Linked DNA regions of Stegostoma tigrinum. The protein of the gene in region 1 interacts with the protein of each later gene in a biochemical or structural test. Links are inferred from orthologs where the notes say so. Each region holds a gene or a part of one and is shown in the gene's direction. Other genes may lie near its edges.

Region 1 (8,993 bases):
CAGCTGCAGCTAAGAGACAAAAATTTTATCCCAGAGTCCTGGAACTAAGGAGAATCCTTCAGGGGGTGATTATTTGTGAGTGGTTCTTATGCAAGTAAATAACTTTTAAGATTGTATCTTTTCCTTACACCAAGAGTTTCTCATTACACACAAGTAGTAAGATTGAGTGTTTAATGTGCTAAAGTGTCAAATGAATCCAGTTTGATTTGTTTAATTAGTTTTTTATGACTTTTTTAAAAAACATTATCTTGTCTAGTTTCAGTGGTCCCTTACCAAATAGTATAAGCCCTTGGTGACATTGAAAGAAATATTCTAGTGGCGCTGAGAAACCAGCATCTGTTTTAGTAAAGCGGAGTGAGCAAGATTGTTTTTATATTTTTACATTTAATTTTTTACACCTATGTTAAACTCTGGAATTCCCTTTCTGAACCTCTCCTGCCTTTCCCTTGTTCTGTCCACTTTAAAAACTAAGTTTGAAAACCTAAATTTTTGATTGAGCCCCTTTACATGGTTTGGTGTCTAATTTTGTTTGAAAACACTCCTGTGAAGTGCCCTGAAAAACCTTGCCATTACCAGGCACTACACAAATGCATGCTGTTGTCAACCTGTTTGTATGGAAAATATTCTGCTTCTTATCCAATTTGCTTTTATCTGGCAGTCACCATGACAACGTGTTTGAGAAGTGACTAAACTCTTCAAACGTGTCAGGAGATGAGAGAGACAGGACAGTACTGGGTCTCCACTATGGGTGGTGTGTTTGTAATCACACAGTGCCTCTAGGCTATTTTAAATTAATCCAGTGTGTGGCAAGACTTCAGAGAAATAAATTTGGTTATATGCAAGTTGGTTGAACACTAATTAACTCATCTTATTTACACGTTAAAAGGAATGAACACAGGATAGCACACTCAAAGAAATCCCTTAATGCTGCCAAGTTCCCCTCTGCATTTTCTCACTTCTTCTGCTCTAGGGAGGACATCTATAGTTCCCATCACTGAAAGGGAATCCTTTTTTTAACATTCTTTTGTAAAATCTGTCCTCTTCACCAACCTTGCCCCTTTTTTAAATTAAGGAAAGGGAATTCTTGACTTTTATGGTTGTATTAACTGAACACTCTATGAGCTAAAAAGATGAAGGAAAATTTCTGCAGGAATTATATTATATGAACACTTTTCAACACTGGCTTGAAATTTTTTTTATCTGTGGAATTTTTATGAAAAATCCACAAGTACTTTGAGACATTATTGTACATAGTAGTGATTTGTATTTAACTGAACACGACTACAGAAACCTTTCTGTATGGGATAGTGCAGTTTTCGCTATAATAGAAGGCAGCCATTAATCTTGGGTTTGAGAATGGAATTCTGAAACTTCAAATAAAGGTCAAGCTGCCAATCACCAAATGTAACTGTCTTCTTAAAAAAAACTTTGATATTAAATTTATATATTTTTTTCCTCTTAGGGTGTGATGGCTAACAGCAACAGGGGCTTTCCTGTGACTTGAACTGAACTGTTACCTATCACAGGATGAGATGGTCCTTGCTTATGAGATGTATTCTGTTGTAAATTGCAGCTCTGGCATGCATGAGGACCTAGTTCTGTTGACAGTGTGTGTAGGCCCTAGGAACTTCCACTGGAGGAGGTGAGTTCTAGGGCCCTGCAGTGAAGAAGTGGATGATCCAACTGGCATTAGGAGTCACCTGCATGGGCAGACAGGTGGGCAGGCACTAGGAATTAACAGCTATAACATTGTCAGTCAATAGAACCCAGACAAGCTGACCCCAGGAGGGGTAGGCTAGCTCTTGCACCAATCCGTGTTGCTTAAATGGCCGGGGTCTAGGACCATGCTGCACTAAGACAGGGTTGCTAGTCCTACTGAAACCAGGAGGGCAGGTGTACACTAGTACCCATTCACGCTGACAATAGACTGACGAGAACCTTGCAGTGCTGGCCCTGGGAGGTGCAAAGACAGGCAGGCACTAGAACCCAGCTGTACGGCTCTGGCAAGAACTGGCACTACTATGTTTTAGTGCCAGCCCAACTGCTCTCCAGGGGGACAGATACTAGGATCCAGTAGAGCCCACTCGAACTGGCTGGAACAATGAGCACTAGAACCTGGCAGTGCAGACCCCAGCAGGTAGTCAGGAGAATGGGCACTGGGACCCAGCACTTCTCGCTCCAGAAAGCATATGGTAGGAGAGCCCAAGGACCCAAGTGTTGATTTTTGCTTGTACTGGAAGACCGCCATTCACTTGTACCTGACAATGCCAGCTTTGGTAGGTGGATGGTGGGTATTAGGACCCAGTGCTATGGCCTCTGACAGGCATTACGACCCAGCAGAGTCAGATTTGGTAAGAAGGTGGTGGGCACTAGGCCCCAGTGGTGCCAGTTCTGGCAGGCAGTATAACTTGGTGATAATGGGGTGCAGAGCTGGATGAACACAGCAGGCCAAGCAGCTTCAGAGGAGCAGGAAAGCTGTCATTTTGGGTCTCGACCATTCTCCAGAAATGGGGGAGGGGAAGGAGATCCTAAAATAAATAGGGACAGAGGGGGAGGAAGATCAAAGATGGATAGAGAAGATAGGTGGAGAGGAGACAGACAAGTTAAAGGGGCAGGGATGGAGCCAGGAGAGGTGAGTGTAGGCAGGGAGGGGATAGGTCAGTCCAGGGAGGATGGACAGGTCAAGCAGGCGGGATGAGGTTAGTAGGTAGGAGATGGGAGTGGGAGGAGGGGACAGTTGGGAGGAAGAACAGGTTAGGGAGGCGGGGATGAGCTGGGCCGCTTTTGGGATGCGGTAGGGGGAGGGGAGATTTTGAAGCTTATGAAGTCCACCTTGATACCATTGGGTTGCAGTGTTCCCAAGAGGATTATGAGTTGCTGTTCCTGCAACCTTTGGGTGGCATCAATGTGGCACTGCAGGAGGCCCAGGATGGACATTGTCTGAGGAATGGGAGGGGGAGTTGAAATGGTTTGTGACTGGGAGGTGCAGTTGTTTATGGCGAACCAAGCGTAGGTGTTCTGCAAAGTGGTCCCCAAGCCTCCGCTTGGTGTTCCCCGATTATAGAGGAGGCCACAACGATGCAGTATATCACAATGGCAGATGTGCAGGTGAACATCTGCTTGATGTGGAAAGTCTTCTTGGGGCCTTGGATGGGGGTGAGGGGGGAGGTGTAGGGGTAGGTGTAGCTCTTCCTGCGGTTGCAGGGAAAAGTGATGAGTGTGGTGGATGGGAGGGGAGTGTGGAGTGGACAAGGGAGTCACAGAGAGAGTGGTCCCTTCAGAAGGCAGATAAAGCTGGAGAGAGAAAAATGTCTTTGGTGGGGTCAGATTGCAGATTGCAGATGGCAGAAGTGTTGGATGATGATGTGTTGGATCCAGAGGTTGGTGGGGTGGTATGTGAGGATGAGGCAGATTCTGTTTTGGTTGTTATTGCGGGGAGGGGATGTAAGGGATGAGATGCAGGAGATACTGTTGAGGGCGTTCTTGCCCACTGAGGGCAGAGGGAAGTTGCCGTCCTTGAAAAATGAGGACATCTGACATGTACGGGAGTGGAATGCTTCATTGTGGGAGCAGTTGTGATGGAGGTTAAGGAATTGGGAATAGGGGATGGCGTTTTTGCCGGAAGGTGGGTGGGAGGTGGTGTATTCTAGGTAGCTGTGGTGGGCTTGAATGGATATTGGTTTCTAGGTGGTTGCCAGAGATGGAGACAGAGGAGACCAGGAAGGAGAGAGAGGTTTTGGAGATGTTCCAGGTGAACTTAAGGTTGGGGAGGAAGGTTTTGGTGAAGTGGATGAACTGTTTGAGCTCCTCCATAGGAGCACAAGGCAGTGCTGATACAGTCATTGATGTAATGGAGGAAGAGGTGGGATTTAGGGCCAGTGTAGGCATGGAAGAGGGACTGTTCTACGTAACCTACAAAGAGGCAGGTGTAGCTTGAGGCCATGGGGGTATCCATTGCTACCTCCTTTGTTTGTAGGAAGTGGGAGGATTGAAAGAAAAGTTGTTGAGGGTGAGGATCAGTTCCGCTGGGCAGATGAGGGTGTCAGTGGAGGGGGACTGGTCGGGCCTGCAGGACAGGAAGAAGGGGAGGGCCCTCAGACCATTTGCATAAGGAATGCAGGTGTACAGGGACTGGACACCCATACTGAAACAGGTGTTTGGGGACTGGGGAATTGGAAGTTCTGGAGGAGGTGGAGCCCGGGTGGTGTCACGGACGTAGGTAGCGGGTTCCTGAACCAAGGGGTAGAAAATGGAGTTGAGATAGGTGGAGATGAGTTCAGTGGGGCAGGAGCAGGCCGAGATAATGGGTTGACCAGGCTAGTAGGCTTTGTGGATTTTGGAAAGGAGATAGAAGAGAGGGGTGCAGTGTTAGGGAATGATGAGGTTGGATGCTGTGGGTGTAGGTCACCTGAGGTGATGAGGTTGTGGATGGTTTGGGAGATGATGGTTTGGTGGTTGGGGGTGGGGGCATGATCAAGGCGGGGTTAGGAGGAGGTGTCGGAGAGTTGTTGCCTGGCCTCAGTGATGGGGAGGTCAGTGTGCCATACTACAACTGCGCCTCCCTTGTCCGCGCATTTTATGATGAGGTTGGGATTGGAGTGGAGGGCTGCAGTTTCTGTGGGGGAGAGATTGAGGCGATTGATGACTTGGCAGCAGTTGGAGATGAAGAGGTCAAGGGAAGGTAGGAGGCCTTGGGGTGGTGTCCAGGAGGAGAGGGTGTGTTGGAGGTGGGAGAAGGGGTCAGTAGATGGAGGGTTAGGCTCACAGTTAAAGAAGTAAATATGGTGGCAGAGGCTCCCTATCTCCTCCCTGCCTAATTCACCTACATTCATGGCTCTATCCTGGCCTCTTTGACCTGTCTGTCTCCTCTTCCCCCTACCTTCTCCTCTATCTGCCTTCTATCTGCTACCCCATCTCTCCCTATTTATTGCAGAACCCTCTCCCCATCCCCCATTTCTGAAGAAGGGTCAAGGCCTGAAACGTCAGCCTTCCTGCTCCTAAGATGCTGCTTGGCCTGCTGCTTCTATCTAGCTCTGCACCCTGTTATCTCAGACAGTCCAGTATCTGCATTTCCTGCTTTCTCAGACTCAGTGGTATCTGCTCAGGTGCGCACGAGAACCAGTGATGTCAGCTCTGCCAGGCACTAGGACCCACTTGTGCCAGCTGTGGTGTGTGGGCTGGGGTGCACTAGCACCCCCTGGTACCAGCTCTGGTGGGTGGGCAGGCAGGAAAGCATTGGGTACTAGGACCCACTTGTGCCAGTTCTTGTGTGGGCTGGTGGGCACTAGGATCCAGTGGTGTCACCTTGAGCAGGAGGAGGGCATTGGGCCCTAGGACCCAGTGGTGCCAGCTTGGGCAGGAGGAGGGGGTAGGGCACTAGGACCCAGTGGTGCCAGCTTGGGTGGGCAGGAGGCGTGGGTAGGGCACTAGGACCCAGCGGTGCCAGCTCTGACAGGCAGGAGGAGGGGGTAGGGCACTAGGACCCAGCGGTGCCAGCTCCGGCCGGCGGGCGGGCGGTCGGTCCCGGGTTGTCCTGGAGCGTCTCTGAGGAGCCGCCGGATCTGAGTCGCAGGCGCCTGCCGGCTGCAGACAGTGAGTTTTTACAGACCCCCTCGGGCTCGCAGACAGGCACGGAGCAGGGGGATTCGGGGGGCGGTATCTGGTTCGGTGCCGGGTTGGGGACCGAGGCTGCCGGCGTTACCCTCTCAACTTTCCCGTGAGCGGGGCTTCCTCGGGCCGGGCAGCCCAGCCGGCACTCACCGAGAGGCGGGGAAGAGGCAAATCGAGAGGCGGGGCTGCAGGATGTCCCAGGCGGGGCCTAGGAGTAGCCAGGGAGAAATTTAAATCCTGCCTGTGAAACTTTATCAAAGGTAGCAGCAGCTCCCCAGAAACTGTCCCAGTGGGTCTGGAAGAGGATGGTCTCTTCCTTTTAAAAGTTTATCTGGTTTATCAGCAATTAGCTCTGGTTTTGAATTTCCCAGTGGATTTTAGCTGCAAAAATGTTTGTTTTCGCAGTCATCTTGTGGAAAATATTTATAGTTTGAGGCAAAAACCAGGCATCTCACCCACGGGGTAGTTTTACTTTACTTGTCAGTTTCTTTTGAAGTGAGTTGTTGCAAAGAATGTTTTCTGTGCTTTCTTCTGAAGTATTTGCATGGTTAATTGTGAATGTCTGTGCATTTCCACTATTTTGCATCTGTTTTCTTCTCCCCTCTTTTAAGATCTGTTCTCTGAATCTGAAGGTTTTAGGCCCAATATCCCACCCCAGGATTTCAGTGAAATATAGGCTGACACTCCCAGTGCAGTGCTGACGGAGTGTTGCATTGTCACCGATGCCATCGTTCACATCACAATATTAAACCAAGACCCTGTTGGCCCCTTCAGTTAGGTTTTAAACAGTTTCCCTGGTGTCCTAGGATGGTCAGTAACTATTCTTTGATCATCATCAATTAAAAAAATGATCTAGCCACAATAGGAATGCTGTTTGTGGGATCTTGCAATGCACAAATTGGCTGCCACTTTTCCTGCATTTTGCCAGTGACTGCAATGAAAAAATTTTTTCTGGATATCTTGTCCTGCAGATTTCATGCTGGTTACCACTGCTGCCGCACAGCTCCAGGGACCTGGGTTTGGTTCCACCCTCGGGCTGCATTGAGTTTGCACATTCTCCCTGTGTCTGCGTGGATTTCCACCAGGTGCTCTGGTTTCCTCGCACAGTCCAAAGATGTACAGGCTAGGTGGATTGGCCGTGCTAAATTTCCCGTAGTGTTCAGGGATGTGTAGATTAGGTGGTTTATAGGGGGATGGGTCTGGGTGGGATGTTCTGAGGGTCGATATGGACTCGCCGGGCCAAAAGGCCTGTTTCCACACTGTAGGGATTCTATGATCCTATGAAAAGGTGAAACTGTAGTGTCCACCTCAAGTCAACTCGCTTAGCATTGAGACATGTAGTACTCAAAATCAGCTCCACCAGACAGGATCTATTGTTTGTGTACCTGACACCGGACACCTGAAGCAACTGCCCCATTTCAACTCGGTCATGACAGAAAGGCCACAAGAGAAGGCAGTGAATACATTGAGAGATTTCATTGGGAACATACGGAGTCAAAGTCCATGTTTCAGAGGATGCACACAAATCTTGAAACAAGTCATCTATCTGACTGTTCAAACACTATTTACCCCACCTATGCCAGGATCTGCAGATGGCATTTTGAATTTGTCAGAAATCTCTGATCCCATCCAACCAGAATGGACATGTGTCATCCTGAGAAACTGCCCGTGAAGAGATGAATTCTGAAGTAACCTGTGTTTGCTTCCCCTGAAGGTAGTCAGCACTTTACTGTGATCTGGCTCCACCGATGCCAGTCACTGCCTGATGCCTTGTTGAAGTTGTTTTTAATCCATGTTTTGGGCAGTGAGAGTTAGTACGTTACTGGCATCTGGATTGTCACTGTGTTTTCACCTGATGTCAAAGGCACGCTGTCCCAACATGGGCTCACTAGTTAACAAACAAGCAAAAACCTTAGATGGTAATATTCACCAGCCAGTTTATTTACTTGCTGTGTAAAAATTGGATCACACAACCAAAACTTGCAGGTTTCTTCACTGGCTCCTGCTGAAACAGGATGAGTGCGAGTTATCATAGTCGACCTCAACCCCTTGATTGAGGGCTGGGAAGAGTTTGAAGTCTGTCCTGCCTTGTGATGGAAGTAGGTTGGGTGCTCAGTGAGGTCTGGTTTATATTGAGTGCGATGCCTTCTGTGTTCAAAAAGTTGGTCAGGGATCAGTGTTTTGTGCTGGCATGTTGAATGGCCATTCAGTTGAGGCATCAGATGCTATTGGTATTCATGCACTTCTGACTTCCAAAGGTTAGTACCTTTCAGAACGGATCAGGATTGGAAAAATTTCTAAACGCATACTATGAACCTAATTTAGATAAGTAACATCATTGATATCCTTGAGTGATTTCAAGTTTCTGAACTCATTGTCTAGTTGGGATAATTTATTTTAAACTGCAGAACATTGTTGCATTTTCCAACATCATCTGAGTCCCACTGAGTTTAATATTTTGTGATCAGCATAGCATCTCTATGATTCTCTGCTTGTACTACACTGGTGATAGAATTTCTCAGGAGATGAAGTTATGTTTGCATTGTCAGTTAGTAGCAATGACATTTACTGTTGTCATGAGCATCATTGGACATCCTTGTGTAACATGCGTTTGGACGCATACAGAAGCATAATTAGCAGAAAAAAGCTAAACTTGAAGTTGTAAGTATTTTTATATCGGAAGCACTTGTGTTTAAAGATCTTTCCAGTAATTTGGTTAACATTTCTCCTTTCAAATTACTATCTTGTATCTTATGTGATAGAATAATTGTTGCACTTTATTTAAAAAAAAGTTCTGTTACAATACAATATTTTTGATGCATAAAGCTTATTGCATTTATTTTATGTGTTCTATTTTTATGTTCTAAGGTCTGAAATAGGACTATGCTTTTATAAAGGCACACAACTTTTTATTCATTTTGGTTTAATCATAAATATTTATATATACATTATATTTTTTAAGAGTGCACATTTGGAAAAGAACATGCCTACAGACTTTTGCAAAGCTGCATTCTTCGCAGTTTTTTGTCTTTCATATTTCCCTAGTAGTTCAGTATAGCATTTGGTGTGATACTTAGTCATACAGATCACGTGTGATGTGGTAGTACCCTATTTTGTTGTATGGCTGTGTACCAGAATGGTTATTGTGATCTAGACTGACCTTTCAGTGAGGGAATGCTGCATTGTTGCTGGGACTGTCTTTCAGGGCTTTTAAACTGTGGCTCCATCAGTTGGATGTTGAAAATCCCTCAATTTTTCAAAGCTGTACTGGGAAGTTTCCTCAGTGCCCTCGCCGACATTGATGTTCCTTGTGGATCAATGCAGATTATTTGGTCATTTGTCTGGGTGCTGTCTGTGGGGTGTTGCTGTGCATTAATTAGCTA
Region 2 (8,039 bases), on another chromosome or scaffold:
GCGGGGATGAGCTGGGCTGGTTTTATCAATGTGGATTTCACAAGCTTCAAAATGGGCCTCCCCCCACTGCATCCCAAAATACAATAATATACAATAAATGATATACAATAACCCAGCCTCAATAGAAAATTCCACAGATTCAAAACCCCTGAGAGATGGACAGAATTTTAATCAATAAGGGAAAGAAAAGTTATGGAGAAAAGGCAGGAAAATTGAATTGTGGATTAATCGACCAGCCATGAGCTTATTGGATGACAGAATAGGCTTATTGGGCTGAATGGCCTCCTTCTGCTCTTGCATCTTATGTTCTAAACTTTCCTTTACAGATAACAGTCTAAGTACCTCTTGAAAAGCTTGATTGAACCTGCCTCCACCACACTTTCATTACCAGTGCATTCCAGACCCTAATTACTTGTTAAGTGAAACTCTTTTAGTCTCAGTTCACTTTTACTTCTTTTGCCAAATGCCTTAAGTCTGTGGCCTCTCGATCTTTTCATGAGTGGGAATAGTGTGTCATTATCTGCAGGGAGAGGAAACAACAGCTTTCCAGATCCAGGTCACATTTTGGATTTTTATATATTCATTCTTGGATGCGGATGTTATTGGCGGGGCCAACATTTATCTCCTTCCAAAGGGTCACTAATATTTACAATTCTCCTTCCAGGAGGCTGAGTCATTGAATACATTCAAGACAGAGATTAGATCAACAAAAGAGTCAACACATATGAGCAGCAGGCAAGAAAGGAGTGTTGAGACCAATCAGGTTAGCAATGATGCAATTGAATAGTACAGGAGGCTTGACGGGCTGAATGGCCTCCTCCTGGCCTTATTTTTGATGCTCACATGCCCTTGATCTGAGTGCCTTGCTCAGTCTGTACCAAGGTCAGTTGCAAGTCAGCTACATTGCTGTGGGTCTGGAGTCACAAGTAGCCTAGACCAGGTAAGGATGGCAGATTTCCTTCTCTAAAGGACATTAGTGAACCAGATGGAGTTTTTGAAACAATAATTTGGCAGATTCATGATCAGTCGAAATCACCTTAGAATTTTATTGATGATGAATTTATGAATTCCATTGAAATGCCTCCAGCTGCCAGGTGGCATTTGAATGCTTGTCTCCTGGGTATTAGTGCAGGTGCCTGGATTCTGAAGCAGATTCAGGTCTGCCAGTTCTGAAGGGTCACAGGACCTGAAACGTTAACTCTGCTTTCTGTCTCCATTGATGCTGCCAGACTGGCTGAGTTTCTCCAGCAATTTCTGGTTTTGTCGCAGACTTCCACTGTTCACAGTTCATTATTTGACAATAAATCTGGGTTATTGGTGTTAGCTCACACCACCACCAGCCACTCTCCCTCCCAAGTGCCTCACACCACCTCTTCTTTTGCTCAACGTTGAGTTAACTGTGGTGTTTGATTGAAGGAAAGTGTGATAGCAACATCTGACAGAAAATGTTATATTTTTGATGGGCAACCATTGTTGAAATGGTCAAAACATGGCGCGACTTTGCATGAAGCAAGGTCTCACAAGCAATAAGGTGGGAAAGGCCCAATTTTCTGGCTGGAACGATATGATTTGAGGATAAATGCCAGGCCACCTAGGGGCTTCTCCTTTGACGAAGTGGCCTATGAAAGTTTTTAGAATCCACCTAAGGAATCAATCAGGTCCTCAATTTAAATGTTTACCCGAATGCAGGCACTTCCAACATTGCAGGATGGCCCTTAGGCTGCAGCCCATGTCTTAGGAGTGGGTCTCAAACCTATAACCATCTAGCACAGAGCTGAGCGTGTCACAAAAGGCCACTGCAAATTTTTGTAGACGTTGGATGGCACAGTGGCTGAGGTTAGCAGTGCTGCCTTACAGTGCTAGAGGCCTGGGTTCAATCCTAGCCTCAGGCAACTATCTGTATGGAGCCCAAGCTTGTGCAGTTTAGGTGGATTGGCTTTGCCATAGTGCCCAGGAATGAGTGAGTTAAGTAGATTAGCCAAGGGCAATAGGGTAGGGGGTGTGCGTCTGGGTGGGATGCTCTTTGGAGAGTCAGTGTGGACTTGTTTGGCCAAATGGCCTATCCCACACTGTAGGGGCTAAACTAAATACAAAATGCTGGAGAGTTTAAACATGAACTGTTAAGCGCAAGTGAAACTTGGCAGGTCTGGCAATGTCTGTGGAGAGAGAAACAAAGTTCGCATTTTGCCTCTAGCGTAACTTCTTCCGAGGAGAGGGATTTTGAAACATTAACTATGTCTCTCTCATCAAACGTGCTGTCAGCCTTTTAATGGAGTAGATGTGGTAATGTCACTGGGCTAGTGATCTCAGCACCTACATATTGGTTCAAATTCCAGATAGTGGAATTGAAATTTAGTCGGAATCTGCAATATCAGAAGCTCGTCTAATTATGACCATGTAACTTCTGTTGAATTGTTGATTTAAAACAAATCTGATCCACCAATACCCTTTAGAAAAGGAAATCTGTTATTCTAATCTGGTCTGACCTGCTTGTGATTCCGTGGGGTTGATTCTTCACTGCACTTAGGATAATAAATACTGGCCTAATCAATAACTCCCATGAATGAAAGTAAAAGCACATTAACTGTGAAAACAACACACAATTTATAAAACATGCAGTTTCAGGCAATTTTCTCCAAGTCATAACAGCAGAAACAAAATTCTACCAATTTTCAGAACTAAAGTACCGCAGCTGTTGAAAACCTGAAATGTAAACAGCAAGTACTGGAGAAACTCAGCATGTCTGGCAACATCAGTGGAGAGAAAAACAGAGTTTAAGTTTTGTAATGTAACCCCTTTTCCCTTTGTAAATTAAGTTTTATCACTGTTAATTACTGGACCTGAAACACTAACTCTGCGTTCTCTCCACAGATGCTGCCAGGCCAACTGCATTTCTCCAGCAGTTCCTGTCTTTGTTTTTTATTCCCAGCACCTGCATTGGATTTTTCAGCGGGTTTATTTTAACAATTGACAATAGTTACATCGTCTCTCCTAGACTAGTTTCTCTTTGTCCCAGACCTATCAGTAAAACTGCAAGATTACGAACTGGGGTTGTAGCCTTGGAGATGCTGCCTGATCCATTGTGTTTCCAGAAGGTTCTGTTGGTACTTCTCCTTATTTGCCCTGTTTAATGTTGTTTTGCACAGTTTCACTTGCACAGACCGTAATCTTATTGCTGTTGGAAAAGCTCAGCAGGTCTGGCAGCATCTGTGAAGGAGAAAACAGAGTTGACGTTTCCGGTCTGGTGACCCTTCCTCATAACCCTTCCTCAGGTGACTGGACCCCGAAACGTTAACTCTGTTTTCACCTCCACAGATGCTGCCAGACCTGCTGAGCTTTTCCAGCAACTTTGTTTTTGTTCCTGATTTACAGCATCCACAGTTGTTTTGGTTTTTATCTTATTGCTGTTTGTGGGAGCTTGCTGTGCGTCTAAATGGTTCCCTATGTGACAAACAGGGTAACACAAAAGCAACATACCCGCATCTTGCCATGAAGAGGCTTTTGAAAGTCCTGAGGTCATAGAATTTTACAGTACACAAAGAGGCCATTCAACCCATTGAGTGAGTACAGGCTCCCAAAAGATCTACCCAGCTAATCCCATTCTCCAGCTTTGTTGCTGTAGCCCTCTAAATTCGTCACTTTCAGATATATATCCAGCTCCTTTTTGAAACCTCCCATGGAATCGACCTCCACCACTCTCCCGGTTAGCACATTCCAAATCCCAACAACTCTCTGAGTAAAGAAGTTTCTCCTCATCTCTCTCCTAGCTGTCTTGCTGACAATCTTGAAATTGTGACCCCTAGTTACTGATCTACCAACTAGTGAAAACAGGTTATCCCCCTTTACCCTGTCAAAATTGTTCATAATTTTGAAAACCTCAATAAGGTCACCTCTCTGCACCAAGGAGGATAAGCTCAATCTCTCTACTCTTTATGAAAACAAGAATTGGAGTGGGTTAGGCAGTATCCGTGGAAAGAAAACAAGCTCCTTTGTTATTGGCTTTCAGCTCAGCACTCAGCATCTGCAATAATTTGCTCCTTCTCTAATCTTCCCTTTGATTCCAAAATTACTCATTCCAGTAAGTCTCCATTCCACTCTCTCCGGGGCTTCAACATCCTTCCTTCAGTAAAACGCCGGGAATTAAACACTCCGGCGTGTGGCCGCGACAGGCGCTATGCAAACGCAAATGCTTCCTGGCGCTGGAAACTGGAGAGGGCGAAGGGAGAAACACAAAGGGTCGTAAGAAAGACGAATTAAGGGGGTGGGGGGAGAAGTCAGAGAGAAGGGACCGGGGTGGTGTGTGAGCAGGACGAAAAATGTTGGTGAGAGAATATGCTGGCGAGGGTTTGCAATGTCAGCGGAGCTATGAGGTTGAGTAAATACTGTAAGCTCTACGCTCTGTGGGGCAGTCTGAATCCCAGAGTTTGCTCGTGTTGAGTGGTGGAGCTTTTAGCCTGTACTGTGTCGTGTGTGTGTGTGTGTGTGTTTTTCTAGATGTCTTCAATTGGGAGGTGCCGAGGCATTAGGTCGGCCTGGACTGCCTCATTCTCTGTTATAGCTTGACCGGAGAAGGTTTGTGTTTTGTGGGTGAGAGACAGAACCTCTTCAGAATTATTATTTGCCCCAATCTTCCAGCATTAATTTCACTCTTGATCATCATTAAGCCTTTGCTTTGATCTGTCCCCCTGCGTTTTTTTTCTTTCATTTTTAACACAAAATGTTGGATCGCGGGGCGCTCCAGGAGATACATTTTGCAACCCACGTTACTTTGTATTCCTGAAGCCGGCCTTTGAATCCAGTGTCTGTCGGTGGTGAGGTGCGGAGTGGGGAGGGGGGGGGGGGGGGTGTTAGTGGGAAGGGTTGTTTGTGAGGGTGTGGGGAGGGGGTCTTGGGACGGCGGGCGGTGGAGGGGAAGGATTGGTCGCTGATCCTGAATTAAACAAGGCAACAGCAACAACAAGCTGAGACATTTCCTTTGTAACCATTTGCAAAAAAAAAGAAAACTGCAGCGTTTCCTGATTTCTGGCTGGGATTCCCGGAGGTGCTGTGTAACCAAATAAAAAAAGGGGGAGATCAGGTAAGAGGACCAATCATTTATTTAAAACGTATTCTGGATCTGTTTGTATGTCATTTATTTTTTGAGGAAAAAAAAGACGCAGAGGATGGGTTGGATCGCGGGCCAAGTTAATTTCCGACTGGTGAAATTGACTTGGACTGCTGTTCTCACTTTCCCCAATCCCAGGGTATTTCTGTTTGGCGATCTCCAGTGCTGTCTGTACATTTCCGCCTCCTTCTTCATGCAAACCCTCCATCCGCAGAGAGGCCGTCAATACAAAGCATCTACCTTCATCACAATTAACCCACTGACATTTGGAGGGGAAATCAGTGAGCCTTTGTTGATTTGGAACCACTTATCATGCGCTTGTTTTTTTTTAAAAAAGCATTGTGTTGTTCAAGAATTAATATCGCTATTCTTTAGCCGGTTTGTGTTGTGTATGTGTGTGTCTCTGTGTATTTATATACCACATTTTGATATTTGGGCCTCTCAGCATTGTTTTTTCCAGCCTTTGACTTGTACTGACTGGGAGTTGCTAGCGTTTCGGTTATATCTTTTTTTTTAAACAATAAAGAATTTATTAATGCCCATTTTGAAAGAGCTGGTGTTAGCAATTTGTAAACTGGACTGTTTCGAACCGACTGCTCTGAAGTTGTTTCAATGTGGTCAGTGGTCAATGCACAGAGTCTACAGGGCGAATCATTTGAATTATATTAGCCACAAGCTATTGATTCAGTGTGTGGTTAATTTAATGTTTATATATCTATATAAAATCTGTATTTAATGGCCTTCAGTTGCTGAGATTTTGGTTTCTGTATATTCTCCTCTGACCCCCACTCACTTTCTATTCTGTTTTATCCCATTCCCAGTAACACTGAACCCTCTCCCTCCAGCCCCCTGTCCTTGAAAGGATTCTCTTCCACCCAATTCTGAGAGGTACCTATTGTGATTCCTGACCATTGTCAGCCTGTGGTTCAGTGCACTGTGGATGGCACCATTACGTCCTCATGTCCTCAGTGGAAGAGCTCCCCCCCCTCCCCGGACACCTTTCTTTTCCTTCTTGACTGTTCAAAGGCTTTCTCAAGTCAACATCCACTTGCATTCGTATGGTGCCTTAAGCCTCGTAAAATGCTGCAAGGCATTTCGAAGGAGACTGTCGAGGCAGGCACGTGCTTGGACACTGAAGCGATGGCACATCGCAGGATGCCAGGGGTGAGGACCGAAAGCTCGGTCAAGGATATAGATGTGTTGAACAAGGACGGGGAGAAACGTGGTGAGGCTCAGGAGGCAATTTCCACAGCTTGTGCACCATACCACCAAAAACACAGCCACCAAGCAAGTGTGAGGTGCCCAAGAGGCCAGAATAGCAAGTAGGCAGATTTCCCGAAGAATCACAGAAGTAGGAGAAGAGCAAGGCCAGGGAGGATTTGAAGATGAGGATGAGAACATTCAGATTAAGGTGTTGCTGAGAAGTGTTTTCTTATTAACTTTGGATGTAACTGTGGATTAGTCTTCTCATTTGTTTTGGCTGTGCGTGGTGTCTTTAAGGTTGACTTCGTGCCTCTGTAATCAATTGGGTCGCTGTAAACTTGACCATGTGTGTATGTGTGCACGTGCACATGCATACACACACACACACACACACACACACACACACACACAGAGTGTTACTGGAGTATGATCAAGAACAGGAAACTCCGCCAACTCTGAATCTGACTATAGTCCCAGTTAAGGTGAGCTAGTATGCTAAATACATAGAACTTAATTTTAAATTTTGAATTTCCCTGCTGTATATGGGTCCTTTAGTCTTCTGAAATATTGGAGTAATGTTTATTATCCCTACAGTATTTGCACTGCACAAAGTATTGTCACGATGAAACAGAAAGGATCCTTTTTATTTCATCACGCATGTTGCTGACAGGACAGGTATTTGTTACCCATCCCGAGGTTCCAAGGGAATGTGTTGTTAAGTTGACCTCATGAAGATTTAATGACACCAAGTATCTTGTCAGAAAACAAGACGGAGCTGTAGAGAATTATCAGGTGTGTCCAGAGCCACATTTAGGCCTGGCCCTTGTGAGATTGACCGTGTAAGTGAACATGAATATGGTCTTAATACAAACTTGACAGCTCCATGGTTGTTTTACTAGTGCTAGTTTGTTATTTTCAGATTTCTTTTAAAAAGAAGTCAATTTAGTTACAATGATGAGAGTGAGTTTGCTATCTCTGGGTGAAATTTAATTTTGTTCTCTCTGGACTATTAGTCTGACAACAAAACTATTGTACTGTGTGTATGTTAAGCTGTGTATTGTGCTCAGTATCTTTGTGGTGAGTGATTTATTTTGCACAGTAACTGAAGTTCCTTTACTCATTCCCAAAATAAGAGCATCGCTGAATAGGCAGCATTTATTGCCCATCCCTAATTGCCCAGAGGGCAGTTAAGAGCCACCCACATTGCTGTGGGTCTGGAGTCACATGTAGGCTAGACCAGGTAAGGATGGCAGTCTCAGGATTAATAGGCCATCAATAATACCAGTTAGTCATTGCCTTCCCCCATGTTTAATGTAGCTGTGGTGGCCCTATATGGCTGTCTGTCGAGAATGTTCTGGAACTGGTCTTGCTGCCCCTGGACTAGAAAAGGGGGAAAACTCCATCAGGTTTCCTGCTACCTAGCGCTGCATGCTAGGAAGTTGACCAGAGATGGGGTTGGTTGCTGTAATTATGCTTCCCAGTTCATTGCCTCCCTGCAGTCTGTGACCACTGGGGGCAAGTATCTACAGGGCATCATTAGACCATGGGTCCTGTCCCTACCTCTTGGCCAGAAGCTTTGGGTTTTCTCCCTTTGAGGAATAAGGAAGATGCACTCATAACACTGCCCAATCGGTTGAGCGGCATCCTGCGAATCCCCCCGGCATATACCAATGGCAGGCTGCCTTCGAGTCCTATAGTACAGAAACAGATCCTTCGGTCCAACTAGTCCATA

Evidence for each region.
Region 2: the proteins of raraa (region 1) and nuclear receptor-interacting protein 1-like form a complex in vitro, tested with the Homo sapiens proteins (4 studies listed by BioGRID). The link is inferred for Stegostoma tigrinum from reciprocal best matches to the Homo sapiens genes RARA and NRIP1.

The regions. Positions count from the first base shown.
Region 1 is NC_081384.1:11,679,381-11,688,373, reverse strand, and holds the start of raraa (retinoic acid receptor alpha-A), read left to right. Parts: upstream 1-5,484; 5' UTR 5,485-5,592; intron 5,593-8,993. UniProt on the Homo sapiens protein: Receptor for retinoic acid. Retinoic acid receptors bind as heterodimers to their target response elements in response to their ligands, all-trans or 9-cis retinoic acid, and regulate gene expression in various biological processes.
Region 2 is NC_081365.1:8,054,620-8,062,658, reverse strand, and holds the start of nuclear receptor-interacting protein 1-like, read left to right. Parts: upstream 1-4,285; 5' UTR 4,286-4,322; intron 4,323-4,330; exon of another isoform or gene 4,331-4,572; intron 4,573-4,904; exon of another isoform or gene 4,905-4,999; 5' UTR 5,000-5,077; intron 5,078-5,324; exon of another isoform or gene 5,325-5,385; intron 5,386-8,039. UniProt on the Homo sapiens protein: Modulates transcriptional activation by steroid receptors such as NR3C1, NR3C2 and ESR1. Also modulates transcriptional repression by nuclear hormone receptors.